4 linked regions of the Drosophila melanogaster genome follow. The protein of the gene in region 2 interacts with the protein of the main gene of each other region in a pairwise test. Each region holds a gene or a part of one and is shown on either strand. Other genes may lie near its edges. The genes, in order: B-H2, fd3F, X11L and Eip93F.

What was found.
Region 1: the proteins of fd3F (region 2) and B-H2 interact in a two-hybrid assay, tested with the Drosophila melanogaster proteins (one large-scale study listed by BioGRID).
Region 3: the proteins of fd3F (region 2) and X11L interact in a two-hybrid assay, tested with the Drosophila melanogaster proteins (one large-scale study listed by BioGRID).
Region 4: the proteins of fd3F (region 2) and Eip93F interact in a two-hybrid assay, tested with the Drosophila melanogaster proteins (one large-scale study listed by BioGRID).

Annotation. Positions count from the first base shown.
Region 1 is NC_004354.4:17,312,793-17,317,620, reverse strand, and holds the start of B-H2 (BarH2), read right to left. Parts: upstream 3,041-4,828; 5' UTR 2,752-3,040; coding exon 1,710-2,751; intron 1-1,709. UniProt on the Drosophila melanogaster protein: B-H1 and B-H2 are regulated by members of the wg signaling pathway; wg and dpp. B-H1 and B-H2 are coexpressed and functionally required in R1 and R6 receptor cells and primary pigment cells for normal eye development.
Region 2 is NC_004354.4:3,800,439-3,805,361, reverse strand, and holds the start of fd3F (forkhead domain 3F), read right to left. Parts: upstream 3,047-4,923; 5' UTR 2,806-3,046; coding exon 1,613-2,805; intron 1,137-1,612; coding exon 1,041-1,136; intron 1-1,040. Other genes in the region: HIP (Hsc/Hsp70-interacting protein), read right to left, coding at 4,611-4,802, 4,877-4,923.
Region 3 is NC_004354.4:17,597,751-17,605,615, reverse strand, and holds the start of X11L (X11L), read right to left. Parts: upstream 6,009-7,865; 5' UTR 5,937-6,008; intron 5,626-5,936; exon of another isoform or gene 5,195-5,625; intron 4,844-5,194; 5' UTR 4,711-4,843; coding exon 4,312-4,710; intron 4,237-4,311; coding exon 3,697-4,236; intron 3,635-3,696; coding exon 3,521-3,634; intron 3,465-3,520; coding exon 2,523-3,464; intron 2,461-2,522; coding exon 2,145-2,460; intron 1,921-2,144; coding exon 1,781-1,920; intron 1,643-1,780; coding exon 1,637-1,642; intron 1,546-1,636; coding exon 1,180-1,545; intron 1,122-1,179; coding exon 645-1,121; intron 575-644; coding exon 434-574; intron 379-433; coding exon 307-378; 3' UTR 1-306. Other genes in the region: CG12991 (uncharacterized protein), read right to left, coding at 7,238-7,369, 7,432-7,605, 7,690-7,865.
Region 4 is NT_033777.3:21,947,516-21,952,132, reverse strand, and holds the start of Eip93F (Ecdysone-induced protein 93F), read right to left. Parts: upstream 3,020-4,617; 5' UTR 2,731-3,019; intron 2,494-2,730; 5' UTR 2,261-2,493; intron 1-2,260.

The sequences.
Region 1 (4,828 bases), about 14 Mb from region 2:
ATTGAAACAAAATTGCTTAGGGGCTTATAATTTCTCGTTAACAAAAAAAAAACTGAATTGAGACCGGGCAATTATTAAAATAACTAAAATTACTCGGCATTTTAGTTATCCAAAAATAGTGGAAACTCATTTTTATCATCCTTTGGGATTTCGTAAAAAATCTATAATAAAAACACACACACATCTTTTGTAGCAAACTCAACATTCTGACCTTTTGTTCTGATTTCCATGCTCTTTCAAATACATACATATATATTTGTGCACGTTCTCGGCCTTTCTAAATTATATTACTGCAAATCAATTGCAAACGCACGATTACGGCTATTTAATAGTAATTTGTTATAATTTGCATATCGTTTAAAAGCACTTAACGAGAGGAAAAAAGCAAAACTAAAGCTAGGCAACAAAATCAATTAGATTGTTGCATGCAAAACAAGGTTGACGGCACGCGGGGGGCGTGGCAGTCAAGGGTATTCTGTTGACAGTTTTGACTGGGAAATATGTTGAAAATAAGCGAACACTTGGCTAATCTGGCCAATAAGTTGAGGGGGGGGGGGGGGGATTGAAAAGGAAAAAACAGAAAGAGAGACATATACAGGTAGAGGAAGAAAGAGAGAGTGAGAGACAAAACCTAAGACACCTGCCTCAGACTCGAACTCACCTGTATTTTTCGAGTCTTCGCCTATCAAGCCAGCATTTTCCCCGTTCGAGCCGCACAATTTACGGTGGTTGTTGGTGCGGTTGTTGTTGGCCGTTATCTATTAGCCAACAGCCACAACAAAAACGACAAAGACAACAGGAAAAACAACCACGCTTAGCACTCAATATATGATATATCCCGGTCGCGGGGAAAATCGTAAATTTAAAGTGGTGCGAACTCAGGGGTCAGATGGATAGGTGTAAATTGGTTTCGAGATCCCCTTCAGTGTATAAACAAAAGTCCACCGTTTGGGTTTCAAATTAATACCAACCGAATCAAATTTATCAGCTAACATTTATTGGTGTGCATACTATGAAATAATTTCTATTCTCTATAGCCATAAAAGCCCTTTTCGTTTAATAAAATAGCTAATACAGCTGAACTTTGGTAAAGTTTATAAATAGAACTGGTTTTAATGGCAATTTGTATACTATAATTACTAGCTTCCTTTATTTCCTTTAATATTCTATGCAAATTTACTAGAGCTTAAATACATATATATTAGCTAGATTTTGATTGCTTTTAATTTGTACGTCAGGAACACGTATAAAAAAGCCTTGATTGGTATTTTGAAACATTTATATCTCGCATTATATCTTGTCTTTCTTTTTTCTTGCTATTTTGAATATCAGTTGTTCATTAGATTTCACTTTCCCATCCAGTCCAGTCCCTGAAATATCACAAATATCATATTGCTATATATATATATATATATATTCTCTATATGTATCCCCGCTTTGCTCTTCTCATATTACTTGATATTGCAATAAAGTGTCTATATACATATACATATATTCCGCACTTGGTGCTATTCTTCAAGATCCATCTGAATCTGTATGTCTGTCTCATGAACTAGTCTCTTCCTTTAGTTAGCAACTTAATTATTTCTGCTATATATATATATATATACTTTATATATTCCCGATGTAGCCTTATCCTTGAAATACAGCTTAAACCATATTGCTATACAGATTCATTGTATGTTTATGATATATGATCAGCGACTTACCGCAATCATCGCTGTCGCTGTCGTCGATTGTGCTGGCTTGATCGCCGCTAATGCTGCTGCCGGGTCCTCCGAGCAACATGTTGCCGTTGCCACTGCCATTGTTGTTGTTGCTGCTGCTGCTGTTGCCGCTGATGATGTTGCTGTTGGCACTAGCACTGTTGTTGTTGTTGTTGTTGTTGTTACTGGCACTGCTGCTGTTGTTGTTATTGTTGTTGTTATTGCCACCGTTACCGCCCAATTGTTGCAGCATCAGCGGTGACCGGGATCGCTCATCGTGCATGGGATGATGCAGATGCGGATGGTGCTGCTGGTGGCTCAGGTGGCTTAAGTGGCTCAAGTGCTGGGCAGGATCACCGGTCAGCCCGTGGCCATGCCGATGCAGTGCCTCCAATCGTTCCCTCTCAAGCTGCAGATGATGCGGGTGGGGATGTTGCTGTTGCTGCTGTTGCTGTTGCTGCTGCTGCAGCACGGCGTAGTGGGCGGGCGGAAAGTGGGCGAGCAGATGGGGCGGCATGGGGTGGTGGGCATAGGGATTGTTGCCAGGCGGCGAATGTCTCTCCCTATAGTGTTCCCGCTCCCGCTCCCTCTCCCTTTCCCGTTCAAAGCGCAGCAACTGCTGCTGTTGCACGATGTACTGTTGCAGGGCAGCCTGCTGATGTTGCTGCTGCTGCTGCTGCTGCTGGTGATGATGGTGTTGTTGCTGCTGCTGGTGATGGTGGTGATGCTGGGCGACCAGCGATTGCTCCCGCTCCGAGTCCGTCGGACTGCCACGCCCACCGCCGGAAGAGGCGGCTGCCAAGGCGGCCGCCGCTGCTGCTGCCGCCGCCGATGCGGCCGCGGCTCCTGCCAAAATATCGGTGATCATAAAGCGGGATCGCGTCGCCGTTGTGGCCGTGGCTGTCGTCGTGTTGCTGCCGACGGCCGGGGAAGCTGGACGCGGCATACCGCCGCCGACGGCAGCGGGATGATGAGCGGTGGCACTCGGTGCACTGCCAACGGGAGCTGCCGTTGTTGCGGACATTTCCGGTGGCATTGTGGTCATGTGTGGTTAGCCGACGACTCCGCTGCTGCACCTGCACTTTGCACCGAAAAAAAACAAACAGCTATGTATGTATGTATGGGTGACGCGAGTTTTTAGCACTTCTTCAGTTAATTGTTGGTAGCTGCTCGCACTTATTTCTTAAACTTGACAAGTTCTTGAACTCCGCTTTCGATTGCTCTTGCGTTGGTTAATGTTTTCTTGGCCCAACTGGGTTTTTAACGCAAATGTCGCTGAGGTGCGCACACTTTGTGATGTTCAATAGCGGAGCAACAACCGCTCGCCTTTGGCTTTCGACCGAAACTGAAACTTGCTGCCAGCAACAGCAACTGGCAGCAGCAGCAGCAACAACAGCAGCAGCGGCAACAGCAGCAACAACAAGAAGGCAGCAAAAACCAGTTGAGCCACCGCTTCCCATCAGCTGCCACCTGTCGTCGTCTCTTTTTCGCTCATTGACCTGGCCAAGTGGCGGTGTGGTGAGTTTCCCTCTCTGTCGCCCCGCGACTGCCTCTCGCTCGCACCCACGGCTGCCCACATTTATTGCCCGCACTTATTGGTCGTAATTGGCAGCAATTGACATTCATTAGGCTTCAATCAGCGGGACTCAAGTTGGCGGGTGTGGTGACTTTCCGCCGGCAATGGCCGCACGTCTAACGGTTATTTTTATGGCACGTGGTGGAGTTGGCTGTTTCGAACTACAACCGCACAAAAAGTATTGCAATTAACTTCATATCCTTAAATAAATAGGGTTTATTAAGTCTTGTCAATTTATATAAAAAGTTATTTGTACTTATTTGATTTCTATAAATCTGAACAAAAACGTGTTCGTTATCTTTGAGGGTTAAATATAGTCTTAGGGGTCAGTTGGTTATTTCATATTATTTTAGCTGCTTTCAAACAAAATTTGAACAGTGTTAATGGTAAACTTTTATTATAATAGCGAGTATTATTAAAAAATATGTAGCCATGCATCTTTAATATACTAATAACTTGTTATCTAACTTTCCAACTAAATATAGTTTGTACAGGAATGACAGAACATTTATGCAATATGCCTCCAGCAGTAGCAAAATCATACTGTTTTAGAAGGTTTCCCTGTTCAATACGACTTCCCATAAACTTTTTATGGCAGCTTGAAACTCAACACGATTATGGCAGCAGGGCAGCTGCCGCCTTTGCTTTTGCTTCTAATGTTGCTTTTGCTGTTGTATCTGATGGACAGATATCCGGATGGCAAGATGGATGGATGGGATGCTGTCAACCCTGTTTTGTGGCCAGGCCACGCCCCCTTAAACTGGTTTGTGCGAGCGAGAGGCAGCCGGCACGACATCTGTCTGTCTCGCTTTGGCCCAAGGGCTGGCCGCCTGTGGCTCGCCTCGGGCCCTCTCGCTCTGCGTACTTTGTTGTTGGTGTCTTTTGTTATTTTTGCGCTTGTTAACACTTTTTGTTTGGCATTTAAACAGTAAATTGGCAGCAGTTAAATGCTGCACGCTTTCCTCTCTGTCGCACGCGATAGTGCCCTCTCTTTCCACTCACTTCTGGTTTACTTCTTGTATCGATGTCAATTTGCTGCCTAATGTGCAAGTGAATGGGTCTCAGGGGGGGGGTGGCTATCCAAGAGGGGGCTGTATACCACTGGGGGTTCCTACCACCTCATTCCTGTGGACTAACAAGCGTGCTCCGGTGGGCAGGAGCTACTCGAGGAGGCAGTCTTTGGCGCCTGGAGGCGGATGCTCCCGCTGCCACATGTTTATTGTATAGTTAGCTTTTCAAAATGGCCTCACGGCAGCAATTGTCGGGTATTACTGGCCATTGGTATGTATCCGAGTTCCTGTCGCCAAACGTTTCCAGGAATAGAGTATCGTAATCATAGATATATCCCAAGCATTTACGACCTGACAAACGATCGGGCTGGAGCAGGAAAACGAAGACGTGACCGGGATCATTGGGTACAGTTTGTATTGCCTCTGAATAAACCATGAGATTGATTTTCCTGTAATATAAATTATAGCATTAATAGATATGAACATAAACTTATCATTTTTTTTATGTAATTTACTTATTGATAATTGTTTTCTTA
Region 2 (4,923 bases):
TGCACGCCCATTCGAACTGAGCCGAAACTTCTTGGACTGTCGATTCATTACATTAAATGCGGGGGGGTGGTGAGGAGTGCAGGTGCGCAGGTGATGGGCAAATGTCATAAATTATTTGCCTCCCCCTCCCGAGCGGGGTGGTTTTATATGTAAATTTATATAGGATATTTACACGCAACATTCGCGGCTGCGGCATCAAATATTTACACTGATTCCGGGTATTCGAAGACAACAAAAGAAATGAATAACAAAAAACAGGTGGGGAGCAGTGGGGGCGAAAGGCCAAATTGATGAACCTTGAAAAATGTGTTAAAACTTATTGTTTTCTTCGTCAGCGATTCTTGACGAATTGATATTTTCGAACTCAGCGTGGTAAAAATGGAATTTTGAAAATTTTAACGTTTTGCGAAAAGTAGGTAATGATTAACTAGTTTTGAATACTATTGAATGATTAACTAATACGGAATGAGCCGTATTAAGCACTTATCACCATAAAACTAAGAATTTGGTATACTCAACAATTGCCACTAAACAATCCAAAAGCCAAAATTAATGGGTCGCTATCCGTATAAGCTGATAATACCAGGGAATACCAGTTTGGCATAAACAACTTGTTGAACAACCCGCAAATAGTTTGGTTAACAACATTTTTGTTTTTCACCTTATGCGAGCGAAGGCAAGGTAAATGCAATTTTCTAGCCCATAAATCTGTTTGAGCTGCTAACTTTTGGCACTTTCATTGTGGCCGCTATCGTTTGTTTGCCGGTGTGTGGCACTTTGTTTAAGTTTGGTTACCAACCAAGGAACGAAAACATGGTAAGAAGAAATACCCAGCGAACGAGGAAATCAAATGGCCAACGGGAATGGCCAAAACGAAATGCTTGAGATTTGTTTAATTGCATCCTGGCTGGCGTTTTTTGCCATCAAAAAAAATAACAGGATGGCTAGCACTCCACAAAATGGCGTCCATCCGAATGGGCGGTGGGCGGTGGGCGGTGGTGGTTGATTCAGTGGGTGGTTCGATGGGGGACAGTACTTACGATATCCATTGGTATATGCCCGACACAGTCAGCTCACCCTTATCCTCGAGGGCGTATTCGATGAGCTCCGTGTAGGTGAACGGTGGTTTCTTTGGCCTGCTTGTTTTGCGGTGGTTGGTTTTGGATTTCAGCCACATTGGTGGGTGGTTCGGTGGTTTAGTGGATCGGCGATTGCGTGGTTGGGGAAATTCGTTGGCGGCATCGATTGGAGGACGGCATTGAAAGCAAATGGAGAACGCACAAATCAGAGAAAAAGATTGTTAAATATATTAAAACAAAAGAGAGAATGCTATAGTCGAGTTACCCGACTATCAGATACCCGTTACTCAGCTAGTGTGAATGCGAACGCGAAATTTAATCATCTTTCTGGGATGTCGATAGATATTGGGGAATAAAATGAGAAAAAAATTTAAAAATTGATCCTGATCAACAAATTTTATATATACTTCAACGAATCTAGTATACCCTTTTCCTCTATGAGTAACGGGAATAAATAGATGTTTCAAATAAATTAGGAAATATAGAATTTAACCGTTGACACTGTCATATTGTTTTATTTCTGCAACACTTACGCCTTGGACGAAGTATCCTCGACGACAACGTGCTCGGCAACTATCATGTCGTTACCGTCCAACTCCGAGGTGACCTCCATCACCAGCTCCTCGAACTTGCGCCCAGTCTTGGTGGAGCCCACGCCGGCCACGCCCCCCGCTGCTGAAGCGCCAGCGGAGCCGTTGCCTCCTCCTCCTAATGCCGCTGGCATCGCTGCACTGGAGCAACTCTTGGGCGATCTGGCCCGTTGATCCACCAAACCCGATCCGAGAGATTGATTTGTGCTTATGGCGGATGCGGATGCCGATGCGGCGGAGGCGGATGATGGCGAGGAGGAACTGCAGGGCGACGTGGCGATCGGCACTGCCGTCGATGGTGGATGAGGTGGAGCACTGCCCTCCGGCAGATTGACCGCCTGTCCGTGAATCTGATTGTGCGGCGATAGGTGCGGGAACTCGTCGAACTTAAAGTTGAGCAGCCACGAGAGGTTCTTATCCTCGAAGTCCGCCTCGGTGGCTTCATTGGCCCCACTAACCGAACCGGATGAGGTGCGTCGGCCCGCCGACTGTATCCGCTGCTTCTGCGGCACCAGAAAATGTTGATTCTGATGTGGGTTCTGACCAGGACTGACATTCTGTTGTGTTGACTGCTGCGTATGATTGGATGCATTTTGAGCTGATGATGATGTTGGTGGTGGCGGCGGCAAAGTGGCATTCAATTGCCCCAGTTCCGCCTGCAGGCCGGAGTTATAACGATGATCCAGCTCCAGCAGCTCGCCACCGGTCCAACCACCATTGTCATCCAATGGAGCACTCGATGGTGGACAGTGCGAATAGGCGACGGCGGGCACCAGAAGACTGCTCTCATAGGAAAAGAGATCGTTGATGAAGGACGTCGAGGATTGGGCGGGTGCAGCGTTGGTTGGCGGATTACTAGGTGGCTGTTCCAGCTGCAGGTGGAAGTGCAGGTCCCCGGCATCGTAGTCCAAGTGTCGCTTCTTCCAGGGATTTGCCCCGATGGGCTCGTAGTCGTGGCCCAAAGCCAAATCCTCCTGATCGTCGAACTTGCGCTTAAGAAAGTTGTAATCACCGGGAAGATTAGTGTTCGTATCATTTTGATTGGTGGTACTGCTATTGTTGTTGTTGTTGCTGCTGGGATTCGATGTTGGGCTGGATGCACTGCCCGTTCCATTGACGGGCATGTTGACAATCATGATGTCCCGGCTGTCTCGATTTCAATCACGTTAGCCAAGCCAAAACACACAACTCACACTTGGCGAAAAAGAGCAAGTAACACGAAAAAAAAATTGACCTGCTTCGTCTGGGGGACGGACGAAGGATATTTCTTTCTTTATTTCTCAATCTTTAGTTTAGTCAAGAGCGGAAATTGGGAATTAGTCGGTCCGCACTGGCTAACTGGCTAACCGTCTCGCGCTGCGACTGGCCACGGAATGCGATGGGCCGCCAGGAGTCCAGACCAACTTGGCTGTTGGGCTGAGCTGCGCCTGCGCCCTCCTGCCACTCATCCACATTCACATCCACCACCCCGGACACCCAGTCATGCACATAAGCGGTACGTCTGCAGTCGATGGAAAGAGGAGCCGTACCTGTGATGGCGCAGGTACAATAAAATAATGCAGACACTTCACTGTATTATATTTGACATATTCGTTGATATATGTTTCAACCATATCACCTGCTTATAAATATATATTTATAATTTATATATAAATATGAAAAATATCAAAGCAAAGAAAGCTGTCATAGCTTCTAAATAATCAGTCGTGTACGCTGTACCAAGCTGAGTTTAAAAAGCAATCAAGTACCTCTAGGTACAACCACCCAGGTCTTGGCATCGCTGAGCCCAGGTCATGTGCCGCTGGTTCTGCTTGGTCGCTCGATTTGGCCATAATCGAACATGTGCGCCAAGCTGTCCGTTAGCCAATTTCGCGCTGACATGGGGCGGGGTGCGGTAGATAGGTTCTGGATCCAGGGTGCAGGGTGCAGCCATTGAAGCGTCTAATCGACGCTTTCATACACCATGCGTACCCAATGTACTTCATACAAAGTGAGCAACCCACACAGGTGATGCGCCGGATAGTTTAAGGGACTACGGCTCCATCTGTTCAACCCGCTCGAAAAAAAAGCAAAAGTATCTCCCCTTTTACCCGTTTACCAAAAAATATGGACATTAGCAATTCGGGTTCTTGTTGATTCGTTTATTTATTTCCATTGATCACTGGTTGAATGAGTGTGTGAATGAGTGTGTGAATGAGTGTGTGAATGAATGGGCGATTGCTTTCATGTTGGGGGGCTAAATGCATTTGCATACAATATGATTTAAATCCTACTCAGTACAATTTTGTTTGACCAAATGATGCGATTAGTTTTATCCGTTTCTTCGTTCTCGGTAATTTAGGCTAATATTATTGAACATATATATATTTTTTATTTTCTTTTGGTTGTTTCTCGAGCTTTAGTTCAACTAGATCGATCGGCACCCTTGAATCTGACTTGACGTCTAAACATTCATGTTTTGTTCGTTACAGGACAATCTTTTGATTTACCTGTGAACTGCAAATGTGAAGTTTTTAAGCATATTCTAGCTCCTTTGTATAGTTTCATTTGCCACTTTAATGGCCGCAAGTATGCTTTTCAATAATATGTGAAGAAGCGTCTCCAGCATCTCCAACATCTCTTTCTTCTCGATTTAAATAAATGTTGCTTATTCTTCTGACTGCTTGTAGTATTTTGAATATTTGAATTTTCTCCATTGTCGCCCGTTCTTTTACGTGTTGGTTAAGTTAAAGCTTAGGAAATGTTTGTTTTTTCCCAGCTGCAAAAATGTGTAAGGCAGTTGCTTTCCCTTTTGTTTTTCGTGTAGTCCATCTTCTTCCCCGCACTCTGTTGCTTTCTCTTTCTTTGTTGTTTTGTAATCTCGCTCGATTTCGTGTAATTGTTTGTTAACTTCTTTTTATCGACGCATGTTTCAGTCTTACTACTGCCCCATTTCTAAACCTTAGTCCAAACCGTCATCGACGAAGTCGGCGGAATCCTTTTTAGGCTTAGGCTCGCTCGGCTTTCCAGCCTTTTCACCCGCTTGGCCAAAGGCAGCACCCACATCTCCACCGGGCACAATCTTCTTGATAAGGTTGTATATCTTCGGGTTCGACGCGTACTTTGTGATGTTACCCGGATTTGACAAAATGTCCTACGAAAGTTAATAAATAACAACGATATGATTACTGCATTTGTATTAGAAATAGAAAAGTAGTATTCACGAACCTGAATGGCGGCTGACACCTCGGGATCTGACATGGCGCCCAGTATAT
Region 3 (7,865 bases), about 14 Mb from region 2:
TCTGTAACTCCAGTAATAGTAATCTCTCTATTGCAGTTGTGGTCGCTGTGGACACCTGAACGATTTGACGACGAACAATTAATCTCATTGTAGACTTAATACATTTGCAATTCATTTAAATTAACTACAATTATGCTTGCAATGTGAATACATAAAGACAAATAATCAATGAACAATTTAAGACTAAACAAATTCCAATTTAAGGTCTCTTTGCGAATCGATGTAACTTTAAGCTGGTCAAGTTGCAGTTGACGAATTTATAGTTTTTCGATTCCAGCGTAGGCGTGTGAACAGTTGCATATATATTTATATATAGATTGGCGTCTCTTGACCGGTGAGCAAACGAAACATGGACGTGGGCATTGTCTTCATCAGGATCTGATTGGAAAGGTATTGTTAATATAAGAATAACGAATTTAAAAACGCGTCATACCTCGCCCACTGAGGATGACAACAGCTTGACAATGGTATCGTGTGGCACGGCCACAACGCTCTGGTTGTTAATCTCAATGATGCGGTGGCCTACGCGTACTCCACCCCGCTCAGCGATTCCTCCACGCAAAAGACTGCAGATCTGCATTAAATAAATACATATGATTAGAAGGATTAGAATAAGAAGAATAAATTCAGCATTTTATAATTACCACGCCATTTTGAACACTAAAACCCAACTGGAACAGCGCCTTGGGACGCAGGATCTTAACCTCGACGACAGGCGGACAGGGCACAACGGTGAACTTGACGGCAGTTTGGTTCTTGGCATTGCGTATGTAGCTCTGGCAGGTGGACAGCGGCAGTCCCACCAGGCTCATGCCGTTAATGGCGATCAGCTGGTCACCGATGTTCAGCTGGCCGCAGCGGGCAGCTGCTCCTGAACTCATCAGGTTGGCAATCACCACGGTGGGCAGCATGGATCCCCAGCCACTCTCTACGATCACCACGCCTAGGATCTCGCCTTTCGCCTTCGGCACAACTACCTCCTTTTGCAGCTCCTTTTTGGCAAAGATCTCCAGCTCATCACCGAAAATCTCCTGACTGTTGAGCACCTCCTGGTAGTCCATCTCTTTGGCCAGACTCTCGTTTTCGATGCCGTTCGCCTTCAGGAACTCCATGTAGGCCACCTGGTTAGGTTTTGATTGTTAATTATACGTGCCAATAATATTATTAATATTCGCGTACCTGGAAGGCCTGTCCAATGGACTGAGCTATGAACTGCGCCTCATCGCTTTCGAACACGTGGCAGATCATTTTGGGCGTGCGATTGTGCTTGCTGAGTGGCTCTTTGGGGGGCGACTCCTCCTCGCCTATGCCCGGAGTGGGAACATCACCTAATGGACTGGTGATCGATGGATCCACAACACTATTCGGTACGAATCGACGACGAGCCATCAGCACAACCAGATCGCCAATGTCAGCTATATAGGATATAGTACGCAGCGCATGGTCCATCATGATCTCCTTGAGATCCGTGTTAAGCACCATTATCTTTTCGGTTGATATGAACAGGTCCACTTCAGTGCTCGGCTGACTTTCGCCCTCGGGAGCCTGGTAAAAAAATAGCAAATCATATATTATATAATGCATTTAATTCTTAATGCTATCATTTGACGACTGAAAGGGGCTAACGAACGCTTACCAAAGCCTATCGAGAGGAATGCGCAGCAGGGAACGAGAAAAGCGAACGAGAAAGTTTTTAGACACACACATAGAGCATAACCTAGCGGGGTTTCCTTGAATGGATGTGCTTTCGTGTGCATCACCAGGTTTTCACTTCACTTACCTTGATCCTGGAAACGGCCTCCTCGGCCTGCATCATTCTGGTCGACTTGGTCGGCTGACCCTCGCAGACAAGTTGAGTGGATCCAAGGTATCTGGCCCGAAACAACACGCCCTCAATGAGAACTTTGGGTTCCAAGAGACCTAAGAACGAACATTATTTAAATTAGTTACGAAGTGCGTTAATGGTCTTCATTTCTGATTGTTAATACACATAAGGGTAGTTTAATAAACCTAAACATCTGCTGGGTAACAGAGACTTACGTGATGTCAGCATTAAATAGATTTGAATTGCAGCGTGAAATGTTGAATCGGTTTCCATATCAGTAAACGAACAACAAGGGGCGTTGACAACTGTGCTAACTTACCCTCTTTGTTCCGCGATTTGGCCTTCTTGTCCGAGTTGGCAGAGTCCTTCAGGGATTTAATAGAGCCCGTGGGACTTTTGGTGAACTGCAGTTTTTCCGGCGAGCTTATGGAGATGTCGGTCGTGCCCACAATCTGACAGATGTCCGGCGAATTGGGTGTCAACGAGGTGCCGATGCCTTGTCGAATGGTGGCCGTCGAGTAGGTTTGCGGCTTGCTATTATTCATAGGATTCGGATTGTTGTTGTCCGACGTGCCATTTAGATGCCCATTGCTGGCAATATCCGTGCCCTCATTGGCATTGTTATCAGCCAGGCTCTGTAAAATTATTATTTCGTAATTATTTTGAGCTGATATCTCTGTAAGTTTGCATTCCTCACCTGATCGGCGAAGAAATCCTGCTCATCGTGCCTCTGCTGACCCAATAGACGATCTGTTTCAAGGTCGGTGTCTGGTTCCTCATCCGCCGCCGCACCTTGGGCCGTCGAGATCGTCGTCCCTTTGCGTGGAACCCAAACCGGTGAATCTGGATCCGTGGGCAGCACTTCGTCACAGAATTTTAGTTTTTCAGGCTGCGTTTTAGCACGCTGCAAGGCGGAACGTATCTCCTTCATGGCCTCCTGGATTTCCGAAGCAGCCTGCGATGGCAAAGATCCTCCCGCAGTTACTGGTGTCACCCCCAGTCCTGATCCCGCTGACTTCTCTGTGTGAGTACCTCCCAAAGCTGCTGCATAAACCGCACCGTAGTGACTGTCCAGTGGATTATCAGCATCTGGGACCATGGTCATGGATTCACTTGCATCGGCGATCTCGATTTGGGGCGGCGATGATGGAGGCGGAGCCGGGGGCATGGGCAGTGAGGCGAAGTCGCTTATCAGCGCCGATTGCGAGGCATCTGTGGTCAATGTGGCCAAGCTGGCGCTCATCACATTGTAGTCGTTCTCCAGCCGCTCGCCATTACCGTTGTGCTCGTGGACGGGCTGAGATTGGGACGATTGCTGCTTGTCACACACCACGGATACGTTGTTCTCCGTGTCGGAGGCGTGGCCACTGCTCAGGCCATCTTCTAGGACAGGCATGCTCGTATACAGTTTACCAAAATCCGTGGGGCAGTTAATGTCGTTAGACAGACTGTCCAAATCACCGCAATTCGAATCGTAATCCGTCGTCTCGGGAGACAGGGTAAAGTTTCGGGAGTGTCGGCGCAGATTTGCCTCCAGTTCGGTGTCCGCCAAATCGCCGCTGCTTCGGCTATTCGAATCAATGTACAGCTCAATATCATTATGCTCCTGGTAGGCCGTCGATGGATTCTGGTCACTGGGCTAGAAATCGAACAATCGTTAGCTATTTTAATGAATTTCATTTCGTTATGACTCACTGGCTTTTTAGTAGGCGACCGGTGAACCATGTAGAGCTCATCTTTAGGTATTCTCGCCAACCGCTGTCCTATATATGCCTGCTCCATGGGCGTGGCTGGGTACTCTTGTGGCTGCTAGTCAATCAAAATGCAATATTAAATGGGTTTCTAGGCTTCTTGGAAGTAGTAGTACTCACCGAGCTAGCGACATCGTCTCCACTTTCCGTGGTGTAATCCGTGTACCGCTTTTCGTCCTCCGGATTCGCCTTGAAGAACTCCTCCAGCACCTTTCTGGTCTCTGAGAATTCGTACAGGTAGTCGAAAGTAGGTGTTTTCTCGCGAAGCGTCCCGGAACGCTCTTCCTCGTGGTCGACCAAATCGATAAGGTTGCCCACGGATGCTTTAGCTGCAGCAGTTGCATTATTAGCGACACTGGTGGTGGGCGAAACTCTTTGCGGGAAACCCGGCGGACGTTTTCTAGGACCACCCATGGTAATGGTATTTGTATTCGGTTGACTTCCAAATCGTCGCGGTGAACCCTCGTACTCGGCTATTGGCAGCTGTCCAATCATTTTGGTCACCTTGAGGACATCCTCATTGCTGCCTGGACGCTGGCCACTCGATGCCTTGTTCATCCAGTTTGTGTCAATGTCGTCGAACACCACGATCTCACCATCACGCAGGCACTGACCGTCCGCCTTGCCCACATCCGTTGGTGAGCCGGGGCTGGCCAATCCCTTAAAGAAAAAGCAGAAAAATCTCATTGTAGTGACTGAAACTACGCCTCTAAGTAATTCTCCAAGTTAAATTACCTGTGGCAGGACATCCCGTGTCTCAAACTGGCTGCCCGGACTCCTACCCAGTCGGATTTGATGCAACTGCGGTCGCTGGTAGTAATAGCTGCCAGAATCGCGTCCCGCATTCGAACCATAGCTGCCGGATCCCTGAACACCTCCGCCCGATGGCGAAAGACCCTGCAGCGGAACGTAGGACAGCTCGCCATTGAGATCCGGCGAATTGAGCACCGTGCTGGCTGGCGTCACATTTGGGCTACGGGTTCGCATCTCCCACACATAACGTTCCTGCTGCTGCTGCTGCTGCTGGTGCTGATGCGATTGCTGCTGCTGCGCCTGCTGGCCAAAGTTCATCTGTATGTGCGGTGGATTGACCATGGACTCGTTACTGCTGTCACTGCAGGAGTTTGAGTTCATGGCTGCACCAACAACTTTGATTCTCCAGGTATGAGGGACTGCGGCTTCGATACTACTACAACTACTGCTCTAGTGCTGCTGCTGCTGCATCCGCTGCTGCTGCTGCGATTGCTGCCTCACTGTGGGCCACTGCCTGGGGGAGAATGGATGATTAGTCGATGATCTAAGGCGGCAATGATTCACTGCGCTGCAGCTCAGCCCAGAAAAAAATCAGGGACAGGTGGTCGTGTCGATGACGTACTTTTGCTGGATACCTTGCCGCTGCGTACTATATATTTAAATCGACATAGAAATACCTGGATTACCGGGTGTGTTTAGACATACGCGATACGGACAACAGGAACCAGCACAGTAAAATGCCAATCTATAAAATTGCTGATTTGTTATTTTTGGACCTAAGCCTATTGCTTTAAATTGGGTTTGCCCCAATCATTCCCTAATCATTCTCATGTGTATTTGTATCTTATTACAGGTCCTAGCTCACCTCGTTAAATGTAATTGAGTTTAGCTAATAATAAGTATTCCATTGTTTCGAGCTTCGGTTTGTTGCTGCACTGGTTTGGTAACCTCTGGTTGTGGTGACCCCCTGGCTGGCCAGCGCAATCAATGCGGGCAATTAACCCACTATTGCCTGTCCATGTGTCTATATGTGGACACCTTTTTTAGGGCCCCCCGCCGCGGTTGCCACTGACCGAGCTTGCGAGTTTCCGAGTTCCGGAGCTACCGTGTCCGTGGTTGATTGCGCACACGTAAACTTGGCCTCCAAAAGTCCTCGCGCAGGCAAAACAAACGCAGGAAGCTGCAGCCAGACACAACAACCACCCACGCGAAGGTTGAAGGATGTGTGGTGGGTGGTGCAAGTGGGTGGTGCCAGGGGGCGATGGTGGTGCTGGTGCTAGCCCTTTGTTGTCGCCGATTGTTGCAATCACTCAGCACTTTGGAGGCGTGGGAAAAAAACAAACTCCCCGTTACCGTTATGTGTATCTATCCATGTGCGTATTGTTAAAAATCAATAGATTTGTCGTATTTTTTTTGCAGCTCCTTTGCTTTTCGTTTCGTTATTTTTTGGTGGGGGCACCGCACAACACAACACACTCATGCACACACTCGTCGCATAACGACGCACACACGCAGCGCACTCGAGCAACAACAACTGAAACGGCGGCAACAACAACACGGCCAGCAAATAGGCACGAAAACAACACCTGTCGCGGTTTTATATTTACCATTTAATTCATATTTATTGCACTACTCCTTCAGCAACTCGATTGGCGCAGAGCGATTGGCAGCAATATAGATAGTCTCTGCTAGAACATCGATGGCCTATCGATTGCTATCGACAGCGAACAGCCGGACAGTGTTGAGCAGCGTTAGAGGGTACTATTCAATTCGTACCTAAGTAGGTGCTAAAAGCCATTTTAAACATATTTAAATATGTTTCCTTCTCCACCCCAGCTTTACTTGACTTTACCCTTTCTCCTGTACCTTGCCCTAATTACGCGGTACCGTCTACTTTTCCAACACTCCTTGTACGATGAATTTCCCGCGCCAATTGATAACACTTTTTCGAATAATATCAGTTTAGCATTTAATGATTAATGTACTCCATCTGGGTTTTGTTTTTCGTTTAATATTTGCAACATTCGAACGGATAGTACAAGTACAAGTGGTGTATAAAAGTTCGATGAGCAAAATTGACAAGGATTGTGTGGCAGTAAACAGTTTTTCTTGTTCTTCGTTAGCTTATAATTCGTTTTATATATTTGTGTATATTGAAACAATTTCTTGCAGTCTTGCCAGAATTTCAGTGATAATAATTCGTTCGTTCAAGATTTATCAAGCAATTAAAATTTTAACAGCAAGTTTTGTTTTTCCATCGAAAACTTAATGAATTAAGTTAGGAATTAGACACGGATTATTTTCCCAAAAATTCTAGCAACACCGGTGTGTGGTTGTGTGATGTTTTCTTTTAATTGTTGTTTGCTTGCTTCGCTTTTAATACATTAATTACAGTGTAAAGTTGCTCTATAGGCTAAACTGGAAGGAATGATTGCATTTAATTGTTGGACACAAAGTTGGAAACTTAATAAATAGTGTTTTCTAAAATTAGACTTGGGTTGGGAAGGGCGATAAAATAGTCAACAATATAAATAAGGTTTAATAATTAACTAACAGATACGAGTACAATGGGTTGGTTTACAAAAATCGGGTTAGTGGGGAAGTTGTTAGGGAAAGGCTTTAACTAACAGTCAAGGCCAACAAAAACATTGCGCACTTAGGATCTACACGTACACTAAACATAATTTTGGTAGTTTTGGGCTTAAACTAGTTGCTCGTTTGGTTGCCTAACATTAGTAAATACATACACGCGCTTAAAAACTACGCTACTTAATGATTATGATGTCTGGTTGTCAAATCAGGAATGGAATTTTAACAGCGAAACGAAACAGAATCGTAATCGAAATCGAACCAAAGACGTACAATAAATGATAGAGGGGATTGGACTTCCAACGGGGAAGGCCGGAGATTAAAGCTTTGTATGTTTGACCGTATCCGTCCAGTAGTTCTGTATTGTCATCGCCTCCAGCGAATTGAGAAACGAGTCGTTGTCCAGGCTGTACATCTCATCCGAATTGTCCTGCAAAATCAAGAGAGAGAACTATTTAGTGCATAGGACATTCAAGCGCCACTGGCAATTGGTCAACGAATCCTTACACTCACCCGCATCGTGCTATCATCGATATAGACACTCGAGTCTGGTTCGCTGAGCGCCTGCGGTTTGTTCAGATACCGACGACGGTACAGTACGATCCCAATGGTGCCCACTGTGCAGCAGACGCCGAAGACAGTGAAGCAAATCGCCGAAATGGCACCCGCATCCAGGAAGTACGTTCGCTGGAAATGGAAAAAAAAGCATGTTACTTTTGAAACCAATTTTTCAAATGATATCGAATTTAGCAATGATTAGTTTTCACCTACCTGAATGGCCAGTGCCTCGGATGAGATATTGCCCTCGTCGCCGACGCCTCCGTCGTAGAACCCGGATCCGGCCACGCCCCCCGCCACGCTGGGCGCCGCGGAGGCGGATCTGGTCAGAAGACTCTTGGTGTCGCCGGAGAAGTTGATGTAGCGATTGATGTGCTTATACTCCGCGG
Region 4 (4,617 bases), on a different chromosome or scaffold from region 2:
GTTGTACCTATTATTTCTCTACTAAATGAGGAGATATAATTATGCATATTACATTAGCACCACAACTAAGCTGAATATATAAGTAGTCTTTTTGAATTTATTCCTAATTATTTCAAAGTAAGCGTAGTTGCGGTAAATTCACTCAAAACGCATGCATAATTTCGATAAAAGTTGATATATATATATAATGGCAACTCACAGAAGTGCAGGCTTTTTAGTTTCCATAAAAGTGAATCACGCATTTCCCTGAGCGTAGATGTACATAGACCCACTAGACCCTTTTGGCTTTTGGAGTGTGAGTCACTCACTCAGTGAGCGATAAATGCATGGCGACTACTGCCCGACTTCCCGGAGTGGCAGCAACTTGTTGCTGTTGCTTTTGCTGCTGCTGTTGTTGTTGCAACATCTAATCCAATCCAAGGCGAACAATGGCGAATGCAAATGCAGATGCAACCACTTCCTTTTGTCTGCCGGAGGAGGCGAGATGAGGAGGCCGTGTTGCAATTGCCGTTGTGCCGCTGATGTTGCCCGTGTTGCTCGTGTTGTTGCTGCTGCCTTGTGTTGATGGTCAAGGTCATGAACCTGTTCCAATAACTCGTTTCTTACGTGCAGCACACACACATACACACACACCAAGAAAGGCAGACTGGTAGTCAGATGACTGTGTGTTGCATGTTGCCCGCCTGTTGCACTCCCGTCTAATGCTAATCCTGGCCAGAAGCCAGCGGCTAGAAGCCGGGATGACTAATGGATATCCGCACAAATCAATTTGAGAACATGAAATTAAATTTCAATCCATCTTGGCTTCTGTCGCCTCGGCGGCAATTTAAAGCTAAAAACTTGTCGCCGTCGTGAAATGCGGAAAAGCCTCAAGGACAACGGCGAGTGAAAAGAAAATTGCGACGCGTGGGCGACACATCAGTCTGCCCCCACTTTTATATCCCCCTTATACCATCGACTGATTCATTGTCTTATTTTTTTCCGTCTATGTGGCAGTCAGACTGTGTCATAAATCGCCGCAAATGAATTATTCGAAATCAAATGCAATTGTGCACAAAGCGAATCACTTGGCGAAATATCTACATATATAAAAACAATAATAATAAAAACATCAAGCGCAGTGCTTTCCGTCTGTCAACTTGAAATTAGAAGCGCATTAATTAGAAATTTTTATTATTCGCTCGCACTTAATTCGCATCCACTTCATTTGTCTTTCTCTATTTTATTTTTTAATTGTTATATATACATATTATTTTTCATTCAAATTCAATAAATTTCAAGTTGACATTTATATTTGCGCATTAATTGGTCGTTAAGATTTCCGCGTATTTTTTTTTGTGCCTCATAAAGGAAAACCCATTCAAGTCCATTGTAGGTGACAGATTGTTTGGAAAAGCAAATATAACGATGGTGCTGGAAGGGGGCAGTGGTATCTATACACCCATTAGAGGCACTTGTTGGGCTTCCGAATGCAATTGTGTTGATTTCTTGAGACGATGGAAAGTTTTTCAGCTTTTCATAAACACTCGATTGATTTTCGCGAATTGCTATACATTTGAGTAACAAGACTTTAATTACCTCTTTCAATATTACTTAGCGAAGGCGCATATAAGTTCTTATCAAATTATTCCCTATTCTAGAATGATCTATTATTATTTCTTATGAGCAACGAACATCTTGAAAGTGAGCAAATCAGTGCAATCATTTAAGATGAATCACAGGCATTTAGAGTCATCCGATTTAGTCAACGGAACCGATCCCAAAACAATTGGAAAATGCATGATACGGCATAGGTATAATAATAACTATACAGCTCAAAAACTTGTTGCAGTTGGGGAAAATCCGGAAAGGTTCTTTGTAAACTAATGCAGGGTAATTTAAATTATACACTTAGCACTCAAGTATTTTGTTATTTGATTTTTTGCATAAATCACCCATTAGTTAGTTCTAGTAAACTTAGTTATTTAATTATAATGCAAATGGAGCTACATAATTCAGGGAAATCCCAGAAAATACGCTACCCGAATTGATAAGAAAATATCTACACTGAGGATAATTAGTAAGCCGTTAAGAGAGAGAGAGAGAGAGTGAGGACAAAATGCAATTTTTATAATACAAAAAATACATTTAATTGAAACATACATGATTTAATTAATTTTTGTAATGTTTACAAAGAACCCAAAAGTGCTGGCTCATGAATTTTTTCCCCATTCTGATGTATGTACATAAATGGAATGATTAAAAAAGAATTCTTACTCACTTTTCGTGGCAATGCGTCCCAATATTTACAAGCTCATTAATGTAAATATGTAAAAAATTTGTGGTTTTTTTGCAGTACGATGAAAACGTTGACTTTGTTTGTGGTATTTGTTTTTAATGTATTAAACTTTTTTCCTTCTATCATTTATTTGTGGTTGTCACAGCACTTTTGCATTTTCAGCTCTTTTTACTTTTTTATTTTTTTTTTTCGTTTTTAGTGGCCTGGCATGTCAACTAAAAAATTTTTGTCATAAGAAAAACGCACGTTAAAGGTTTTTCTCTCAGTTGCTGTTGTTGTTGTTTTCGCTCGGGAAGAGGAAGCATGTTAAAGGTAGTGTGCATGTGCGTGTGCGTGTGTGTGTGTGTCTGTCTGTGTATGTGTGTGTGAGTAGAAAATAAATAAAAATTCGCACACCGCGACCAGCGTCAACAACAAACAAGCAACAACAACAACAACTGACACTGACAGACCGACGTTACTAATACGCAAGAGCGCAGGCAGCGACGCCGGCAAACGCTGCAGCAGCGAACGCCGCCTTCGATCCGAACCCAAATCGGTCGGGCACAAGAATCGCCCGTCTGGGCAGTGAGGAGAATGGAGAATCTCGCAGAGAAGCCGAGTCTGGCGAGAATATCCCACTATCGGAGTAGCCAAGTATCCGAGAAACCGAGAATCCGAGGAAGCGTGAAGCCGAGAAACCGAGAAACCGAGAATCCGAATCCAAATCCAAATCAGCGGGGCCGGGACCGAAGCGAACCGCTCGAGCCGACGGACAATAAAGCTAAAGCCAGCCTGCTGCCACAGCTGAGCAGACCGCTGCAGTCGCGTTCGACGAGCGGATGCACTCACGCACACAAGCAAGCCAGCATTTCCACTCGGCCAAAAAGTGCATTCGCAGAACTCACTCAATGAGAGCGAGAGGGAGCGGAAGGGAGAGAGAACGAGAGGTTGGGAGAGCGAGTTAGCCGGCTTGCGTGCAACTGTATGGGTGCCTTCATTCATGGCAGCCGGTAAAAAAAGGCTAAAAGCGAAATTGGTTAACAGAGAGCCACAGCAGCAAGAGGCTAGAAGTAGACGTTGGAAAAAAAGCGAAGAAAAAGAAAATGGTGGCCCAGAGAGCGCTGGATTTTCCGCTCAAGTCGCGGGAAAGGCCAAGAGCAAGTACAGTGCAATTTTTAATTGCACACACACACACACACACACACAGAGACTCGCACTCACACACACACATATGCATAATGCACGCTCTCTGAGAATTTCACACATATTTTTTTATTCAAGCAGCATTTTGTTCTCGAGTTTGTAAAAATTTGCAACGATTCGCTGCCAGTAGTGGTGCTTGCATTTCATTTTTTTTTTCTTTCTGCTCAGCCTCAGTTTTGGTGGGTTTTCGATTTTAGGTCCGCGTCCGAATCGCCAGCGTTCGGCACTGGAGGCGCTCACTCACCGCTCGAAATGCAACTGGCGGCCAGCGACGAAGCAAACCGATCCGAGCCGGCTATACGTCTATATATTCCACATCCACTTCCCACAACGGAGGCTCTTCTCGGCCGGGGGAGCGGCGGGGCACGCGGAAATCGGCGGGAGGAATACGTAGGCTACCGTTGCACATGCACTTTTTTAGTTTTTATTTTGGTTTTGAGCTTTTTTGTTTTCGTATTGTTTTCGTTTTTTCACTTTTTTCGGTGCGAATGTCGAGTGCCAGAGCGTACTGAAAACTAAAATAATTCATTTGGGCTGCCACTTTGAAGAATTGCGATTTTTGTGAGAGAGTCGGGAAAGGATCTATGGATGGTGACCCCCAAGGATTGAGCGATCGATAATTGGGTTGGAGCCCAGATAAGCGTTGCATTTTTCCGGGAATCGTTATAGTGCACTACTCGAGGGTCGTAAAAGTAGACAGCTTATTTTTAGTAAACAATCGTATCAGTTCTATAACCCAAATACCTTTGTTAAGCCTTATAAATTATACCAACCCACAGACTTCTCTTATAGTTATTTTTATTTGAGTTATCAAAAATCGTCAAATTTTTGACATTTTTCATAAGGCCATTTCCAGCTAATTATGTTTGCTAAGAACTTCAAGACTTTATATTAAAGTCATTTTGTCAAGACATAAGATAATCGCCTTTAATATAGCCTGACTAACCCCAAAATTACCCATTGACTGACTGAGAAACTGAGTGAGTACCTATTATTAACCAAAAGCCCCAACGAGGAACTGATTGCGCACCTTAGCGACTGAACAACTGGGAAACTGACGACCGGACTGACTGACCAACTGAGGAAATGACCGACTGAGAACAGACTGCAATTCGAGTCGACTTGCAGCGACTCAATTGCATGTCATTGTAGAC